2 linked regions of the Oryzias latipes genome follow. The main gene of each other region encodes a partner of the protein of the gene in region 2 in a complex. Links are inferred from orthologs where the notes say so. Each region holds a gene or a part of one and is shown on either strand. Other genes may lie near its edges. The genes, in order: dbt and dld.

Region 1 (4,344 bases), on a different chromosome or scaffold from region 2:
TGTACTAAGAACTGTGGAGATGGTTCCCCGCTGGTAACCAGAGGGGGAGACAAATCTCTGACTTCTGACACATTCATGTCAAGATCAATATTGAAATTTGAATATGATGTAATCGATTTCATAAAGTGAAAATCTCCTTGACATGAGCATTTTGCTGAGTTCTTAAGTTATTTTTTCCTCAGACACAGTTTGTGTTTGTCAACATACCTTACATGTTTCGGCGGAGTCACTTCCGCCTTCGTCAGAACCGATTTGTTCCGTCAAAACATTAAAGGTATGTTGACAAACACAAACCGTGTCTGAGGAAAAAATAACTTAAGAACTTAGTTAACTTTGTAGACACAATAAACTTTACTGAATTATGAGCGTTTTGCCATTACTATTATGTGTGAACTGTGTTCTGAAACGTTTTATGTTTTTTTTAATATATTTTTTTGTCAAAAATTGGTCCAACGCAATGCATTGTCGAAGTGTCCTTGGGCAAGACACTGAACCCCACCTTGCCTCTGGTGGTAGGCGGGCGCCTGTGTTTGGCAGCGGAGCTGCCACCAGTGTGTGAATGTGTGAGTGAATGTGTGTGTGACTGGGTGAATGGGTCTGTGACTGTAAAGCGCTTTGTCCTTGTAGGAAGAAAGGCGCTATATAAGTATACGCCATACGCTATTTACCATTGTGGTCTATATTTGCCAATCTAGTTAGCATCGATGCACACTGGTTTTTCGCAGAGACTTCTGGCAAATTTCTAGGGCACTAGGTTTTGGAATTGTAGATTCGGACAGCACTACAAAATGGCGAACGCACAATTTAGAGCACAATGTAGTGAGTAGTGAAGGAACTCAGACATAACCTTGGTGTTCATGTTTGGAAGCCATATTTTTTTTTTTTTTTACTGTGTTGGGGTGTGGGGCTTGTACTTTACTAATTCTGGTACTGGGGAGTTATAATAATTACCTCCCTTTTTGATTGTAATTTTGTTTGCCCTGCTTTGATTTGTGGTTAATCATGTATTTATGTAAGTGTTTTACATTTTCAAACATATTTTTATTATCTTTTTGGCTTCAATATTGTTTTGGTTAAGCTACTGCGTGTTGGCTGGCCAAAGAGAGGGAATTTATGGAATTTAGTAAACATCGTATTGGCGTTTTGATTCATTTCAGTGTGGCTCCTAACGCAAGAACTTTTCGTTGTGGTTCTTATCAGCGTTTCACTTTATGTTGTTCCCCCCTTAGCCATCGGGGGCGCTCCTACCCCATCCTGCCTAAAAATGGTGGAACGTGAGGAGAAGAAGAAAGGCTGCACGGTGATTGGCTGCTCGTAGGGGCGTGCACACGCAGCAAAGATGGCAGCGGTGACCCGGGGCTCCTATATTTTCGTCTCGCGTTTGGTGAGGAGAACTTCATTTCGGTGCGCGCGCTTGCTTCTTGCACCCCTTTAAACTGCGGTACCTGCAGGCTAATTGCTAACTGTCCGCGCGGGTCAGAATCTGAATTTGTCCAGGCTAATGGTCTGTTAAGGGCCAGTTTCGGCTATCAGGTGATTCTGACCCGGTCCAAGTCACAAGCCCGTGGTGCGTCATTATGCGAGGTAGCTTTAGAGCAGACCTTTTTTGTAAAACCAGGTGGAACCAGATCTTAATTCGTGTTTGGGTCTGCCAAAGGTGCACGGAGCATGCGCAGTAATCACCTGCGGAGCTCAGCTCAAGTAATACTTGCTTTATGCCAAGTTTGTGTTAAATCTCTAAAAGACAATAAAAGTCCTGGAATGAGGGATTGACACGTGCATTTTATAAAATCTTTATAGAAAAAACAACTCCTTTTTGAAGTAATTTTAAGAGGCTTCGGAAATCAGTATATTATCCCACACTCTTGATAAGGTGTCATAAAACTTGTCCCTAAACCAGTAAAAGATAGATCATTATGTATAGAGAACTGCAGACCAATAAGTCTGTTAAACAATGAATGATTCCAAAATATTTGCACTTATATTTGCTAAAAGATTGTAACCTGGTCACTGACGATAAAGCCCGGTAGGGGTGAGTTATACTGAGGATTTGGGCATCAATCCGGTACCAAATGATTACAGGGCTACTATCGCACATGTTGATACCAAAACTGATACTTTTTCTTGAAATGATGTATAGAATAATTTAGAAAATACATTTTTTTGTTAATTAAGTGTATAATTAAACACAATAAAGAGACTTCCGGCAAATAAAAATGTTCAATAACTAATTACAACAATCTGAACTGAACATACATGAAAAATAGAACATTTATATTAATGTCATATACAATAATAAGAATAAGAATAAGAAAACTAACTAGTTCAAAATAAAGGAAAACAGAATGTAACAAAACAACATCATAAACCTACATTAAAAAATAATGCTATTAATAAAATCGGACAAAACTCTGATTTTATCTGAAGGAAAATGACTCACTACTTTAGAAATAATATTTTGTGTAACATCAAAAAGCTTGGAGGAACTAACTTTTGAAACTTTAAATAACTCCTTTAAAGTAAAATGATTGAATAACCCTTTGAAAGGAGAAAATAATATTTGGAACACTTTTCCTAACTATATTTTCAACATGATGGGAGGACTCTGTGATTATAAAATTGAAAAATTACCAACTAAACTTTCTAATTTCTATAAACAAACTCTGCTTGCCTGGAAATTCATTTATAAACATAATTTTTCTCCAAAGGCCAGTTTTGTTTGGAATAACCAAGATTTTCAATATAAGTAAAATCCCCCTTTCCCCAGATGGTATTAGAACAATTTACTTTGGATGAGACGACTTTTCAATTCTTGTGAATATTTATTATCATGAAGAATTTCTTTTAAAATTTGGCTTCCCAGTTTCACCTAAATTATATACAACAGTATTTGATGCAACACCAACCAAACTATTAATAATCCATTCATCAGATTTACTATCTTTTTGGATGAGGTGGATATTTGTATTGGATCAGTTTCCAACAAATAAGAAATCTTTAACATCTGGAACCACACCTGCAAGTAGATTTTACCGAAACTCCAAAGTTATGGATATAAAGTGGAATAAATTCTGGCTCATTGGTAACAAATACAGTTAAATAACAAAATAAAAGAAATATCCTTTAAATCACTACATTGCATATATTCTGTTAAACATTTTTTTGGTATATTTATTCTGGATATGAACCAGTTGTGTACATTTTGTGGATCACGAGAGAAAAAAATTGTCATTTGTTTGTAAAATGTAGAAACACAAAAATGTTCTGGATCCATGTTGGCAACTCCGTTAGTCGCAAAACTGGAAAAACATTCAAGCTTTTAGAAAAGGACATCATTTTTGGACTGTTATTATGACATCCTGGACCTGCACTTTAATTTTTAAACACAACAGATTTTGTTTTGGGAGCAATTTCAAATTTATATAAGGAAATTGTTAAACTTCAAACTTAATTTTGAGCACTTTTTGCATGAATTAATGCAATATGGTAATATTGTCAAACGAATAAAAAAAAGGCAATTTTAAGAAATGTAATTTTTGCAAAGGTACCGTTTTTTTTTCCATATTGTTACTTATTTTTGATAATGTGATGGTTCTGTACCATGGCTGGATATCAGGTCTGTATGCATTGATACATATTTTTTCTCCCTCCCCCTTGGCATTCACACTTTTGTTGTACCTGTTGTTTATAAATAAAGTTTTCTGCTCTGTGCCCCCAGCTAAGTCGGCACCTCTGCCGTTGGACCGTTCGGCAGCAGACCCTCCGGTGTGGCAGAGCTTTACAGCCACTCACCGTTAAATGCAGCAGAGAGTCGCAGGTATTCTCTCTCCGTGGGCTACACGCTGCCTCAGGTGAGCCCAAGACCTGCAGCTGTCACCCGTCTATCATGTAGTAGATGGAGTTACCATGGCAACCCACAGCCTCCATGTTAAACCTTGATTAAGAAGTCACTGATGATGTCACTGTGCTCTTGTAGCATGTTGTGGGCCCGTCGTCCAGTTCAAACTCTCTGACATTGGAGAAGGCATCATGGAAGTGACAGTGAAGGAGTGGTATGTGAACAGCAGGCCGGCTGTGATTGGCCGAGTTTCGTCCTTCAGGAGGGTTTCAGACCTGAATGGTACTGGTTCTGTCGGACTGTTCTGACGCCGCCTTTTTTGCCCGCTGCAGGTACGTAAAGGAGGGGGACAAAGTATCCCAATTTGACAGCATCTGTGAGGTCCAAAGCGACAAAGCGTCGGTCACCATCACCAGCCGCTACGACGGCGTCATCAAGAAACTCTACTATGACGTGGACGCCACCGCGCTCGTCGGCAAACCTTTGGTGGACATCGAAACGGAGTC
Region 2 (4,399 bases):
ATGTCTCCTGTCTGCCACCTGGACGGGGATTCAACGCTAGGCTCTTGCCTGAGGGAATCCTGGTTAGTTTCATTTCCTCCGCCTAGTAATCTGCTTCAATTCAGCGGGTCAGAGGTCAAACACTTACAAACACTAAGGTCATCCTCCAAACAACAACAAAACAGATAGATGGTCCTGCCAGAAAACGTGGATTTAGTGCCAAGTCTAATGCTACCATTAACTTTCAACAGGTTTACGTGTTGACATCATCATCATCACTACAAGATCAGCCTGAACGTTCACTATTCTGAGAGTAGACTTTCTCAGATCTTCCTAAAATGTTTGCTAGAAGTTCTCCTTTATTAGCTGAAAGCTTTAATTTCCTGGTGAAAGTCACATTCTAGTTTTTCCAAGTCTGTTTGTGCGATTGTAGCCCAGCAGAGTTGAGAGTTTGCCCTTTCCAATATGGCGTCCAACTTTGCATATGTACCTCGCAGCGCGGCGTCTCTGGAATATATATCTCATTGTGTCATACTATGAGACTTGGTATCCAGTAACACAATACGCTCCTGGGATGTTACAACCCCTCTAAGAAATTCAGTTCCATGTTGATCCAGTCTAAATGAATCTGGTTGTTACCTTTGAGGGGATGCAGCCGACGTTAAGACACGTCCCACCCAGAGTGGCATTTTTCTCAACACAGACTGTCTGCAGAAAGAAAAAGCAAACATCTACATTTGTCTGACAAACTGTGACGTCACTTTAGTTTTGCTGCCATCAAATCCTAATTAGAGAATATTTAAATCCCATTGGGGATGAACTTGAACACTGAAGAAGGTGGGCTTACCTTGAAACCAAGTTGTGCAGCTTTAATTGCAGCAACATAACCGCCTGGACCTGAGCCCACCACTGTGACATCTGCATCAACTGCAGGAGAGAAACACAGCTGCTTACATTACAAACAACCATGAGAGCAGTACTTTTCTACAGGGAGCGAAGTGCTGGCTATAGTAGCACAGTATGCAACAATAAGTGAAGTAAAAGACCTTTTGGAGGGAAAAAAAACTTCCCTTTAATTGCAAAGCTGTAAAAAAAAGACAACTGAGTGAGCTGTCGGTCTGCAATTTCCACATCGATTCCGGGAATAGTTTTTGCTATTTACTTATGAAAGCCCCTGGTTTCAGCAGGAGTGCTTCCCTGAATCTTCACTTCTACAGTCTTCTTAGTTTAGATTGAACTTAACCTGGACAAAAAAGAAAATATTTTCAACCATCTTAATGAAACAAAAAGACGAAGGTGGTTTCTTACTTGCGGCTTTGTCGCTGTAGGCTCTGACAGACACGGCAGCTCCATGGAGTTTGCAGGGAAGATGGTGGCCCCTCTGCACAGTAGATCACATGCACACAGCTGCTGAACACCCAAACTTGGTGCCACAGCAAAAGCTCTAGTCTAAGACAGTTCTCACAATGCAGGTGAGTTACACCAAACTACGGTGGCCCTGAAGTGCAAATCACATCAACAAATCACTCGACACAAAAACATTTGAAAAAATTACGACGACAATTAAAAAAATGATAATTTTAAAACAACTTCAGAAACCAAAAAGGAAAAAACAAAAAATGAAAAAACATTTTGGAAAACAAAATGAAATGTTGGAAAAACGAAAACAATGAGAAACCGGAAAAGGTAGGTACTGAGGGACATTGCTGATTGGACGAGGACGTTTGTACATTTCAACTGTAGTTATTTGGCTTGGACACTGAACATCATCAGGTTGTCCCTCCCTCCCTTTTCTGGTTTCTCATTGTTTTCGTTTTTCATCTTGTTTCCCAATTTTTTTGTAACATTCCATTTTGTTTTCTGGAAATTAATTTTGTTCTCTGAACTGTTTTCTCATTTTTGTTTTTTACATTTTGTTTTGTTTTCTAAAATATAATGCTGGCTTTTAACATGTATTTAGTTTTTTTTATTTGCCGTTGTGATCTTTGACATGTGTTTGAATCAAGTGATTTGTTGAATGATTTGAACTTAAGGGCCACCATACCCAACAGATAGAAACACAAACAGCTGATCAATTTTACATAGCTTTTTGGTTATTTTTTTGGTCTATTGTCATGTTCACCAGCATTGCCACTTTGAGTGCACACACTGTTTAGATGCATAAAACAATAGGCACGAGATTTTGGAATAGTTTACATCACGACAAGAAAGGACAAACGTTTGAGAAACGTGCTGACATGTGAACCTGTCCAGATATTGACCTAAGGGAGAGGACTAAAGAGGCCATAGAGGATGTCTGCGGACATCAAGGAAAACGAGTTAGGGAATAAGGGGTAGGGATTTGATCAACACTTTCAACTCTCGCGAGAGATGTAAATTAAAATGACAGCGCGGTTGTTATTCAATATTAACATTATTAATTATTAACAACGAAGTTTCACTTAGAATATTTGTCGCCTTTGATTTGTCTAGAAGGACCTTTCAAATATACATATTTATATACAAATGTAACAAAGTTTTCGTCCTTATAAAGGTTTTTCAGGTCCTAGTATATAAGATGCAGACATAAGACGCCTAGAATTTTCAAGTAAAGGCTTAACATGAAGCCGTATTTAGTCTTATATACACCAACAGTATCCAGAAAATATCAGAATGTGTGCTTTTATTTTTGATTGTTTTTATCAGAATCCGTGTCGGTACAAATGACCACAGCGGAACTGTTAGAAAACAGCTAGCTGTAGCTTAGCTTCCATGGGCCGCTGGTTGAATAAGACCACAACAGACGCGTTATGTAGAGTCCCAGCCGAGATGAAATCTGTATAAGAAAAGCCGGCTTCTACTATAAAAAAATTAAAGTTCCTTACTGAAGCCAAACAGCGATAAAGCTGGGTCACGCTCTGCATTTTGGCTATGCCCCTCACAGGATGACTCTTCTTCAGGACTGCGACCAGCCAAGGACTCCGATGTTAGCGCATGCGCAGTCCCAGCCTTGGTGCTCCGTCCCCTGTTGAAAAACGACAGAAAAGCCCATTACTGCCCCCTACTGGTACGGAGCGTCAGCAGTTGGTTCGGGGATTTTTTTATTTTATTTTATTTTATTTTATTGAACATTTGCAGGATACAATACAAATATAAAATATTTATAACAATACAATATATGAATAAAACACAGCTCTGAATACAAAAAACATTGTTTTGGCCTTTTGAAAATCATAACTATTAAGAACAAAATTATAAGTAGTAGTAGTAGGTGTAGGGGCTGTCATCTGGATTTAGTATTTTTTGAGAGTCTTCATAGACAAAATTATAAGTAAAAATATTTTTTTAAACAAGCGGCTTTTAAATAATAACCAAGGAAAATAGAAGGAAATAAATAACTAAAATTAAAAAAAATGGAAAATAGAGAGAAGAAAGAAGAAGAAAGAAATGCGAGATTTAACTTATGTCACTACTCCAAAAGATTTACAGATATTTTTTGAGCCTTTGAATCTTTTGAAGCAGATATTAACTATAGGTAAAGACCAGACTTTTTTCTTTCAATGTTAGATATAAAATTAGCCCAATAAAAAGTAACTGATGGAACAGAAACCAGATGATCTTGGAACAAAGCTCGGAATTTTGAGTTCAACTGTTTTAGTGGAGGTGAAGCAGAAAATACCCAGGGGAGATTTGAACACATCAGAAGGATGAAGAGTCAAACGAGGAGCGCTGCAGAAACCCCTGAATAACACGCAAAGTCCAGACGGTACGGCATCAAACACTACTGCCAATTTCCGGAGATAGTGAGTGTCTCCATAAAAAGTTGTAAAATATTTTATTAATTCCAATACAGACTGCTTTAGTAACCTGTAAAGATTGAGCATAGGTCAAACGAGAGAGCCATTTGATCACTCTGCTCTTCAGAAATAGATCTTTTTGCAGCCATTAGTTAAGGGTTTTTTGGGTTTTATCTGTTAAAGGAGAGAAATCTTTAGAAGTTCTGGATTGCATATCTTTAGTCATTTGAATACCAAGGCATGTTACAGAAGTTTTCACAGGAAAACCTTGAATGGAAGTTAACAAATAGTTTTTAACAAGCAGAATTACACATTTGTTTAAATTAAGAGTAACTCCAGAAGCTTTAGAAAAGGATTGGATAATGTCGATTGCCACAGCTATTTGTGAAGTGTCCCGAAGTATTTTTTCAATAAGAAAAGTTCAACTCAATGCTTTGTTATATACCCTTTGTTGCCAATGACAGCAGTCAAATGCTTTCTGTAAGTTTTCACAAACTCCTTTTCATCCATTCATTCATTTTCTATTCAGTTTTTCCCTTTTGGGGTCAGGGGGATGCCGGAGCCTATCCTGGCCACTTGTGGACGAAGGCAGGGGACACCCTGGGCAGGTCACCAGTCTGTCGCAGGGTAGAATGTCCACAATC

Evidence for each region.
Region 1: the proteins of dld (region 2) and dbt are in contact, whole or in part, in a crystal structure (PDB 3RNM), measured with the Homo sapiens proteins. The link is inferred for Oryzias latipes from reciprocal best matches to the Homo sapiens genes DLD and DBT. Residues at the interface, in NP_000099.2 of Homo sapiens: Ser446, Thr447, Asp448, Arg449, Glu472, Tyr473, Gly474, Ser476, Glu478, Asp479, Arg482; in NP_001909.4 of Homo sapiens: Thr174, Pro175, Ala176, Lys196, Arg199, Leu201, Lys202, Glu203, Leu206.

The regions. Positions count from the first base shown.
Region 1 is NC_019862.2:5,905,113-5,909,456, reverse strand, and holds the start of dbt (lipoamide acyltransferase component of branched-chain alpha-keto acid dehydrogenase complex, mitochondrial), read left to right. Parts: upstream 1-1,253; 5' UTR 1,254-1,339; coding exon 1,340-1,384; intron 1,385-3,718; coding exon 3,719-3,851; intron 3,852-3,976; coding exon 3,977-4,052; intron 4,053-4,170; coding exon 4,171-4,344. UniProt on the Homo sapiens protein: The branched-chain alpha-keto dehydrogenase complex catalyzes the overall conversion of alpha-keto acids to acyl-CoA and CO(2).
Region 2 is NC_019864.2:5,935,002-5,939,400, forward strand, and holds the start of dld (dihydrolipoyl dehydrogenase, mitochondrial), read right to left. Parts: upstream 2,972-4,399; 5' UTR 2,883-2,971; coding exon 2,844-2,882; intron 1,361-2,843; coding exon 1,288-1,360; intron 907-1,287; coding exon 827-906; intron 688-826; coding exon 619-687; intron 1-618. UniProt on the Homo sapiens protein: Lipoamide dehydrogenase is a component of the glycine cleavage system as well as an E3 component of three alpha-ketoacid dehydrogenase complexes (pyruvate-, alpha-ketoglutarate-, and branched-chain amino acid-dehydrogenase complex).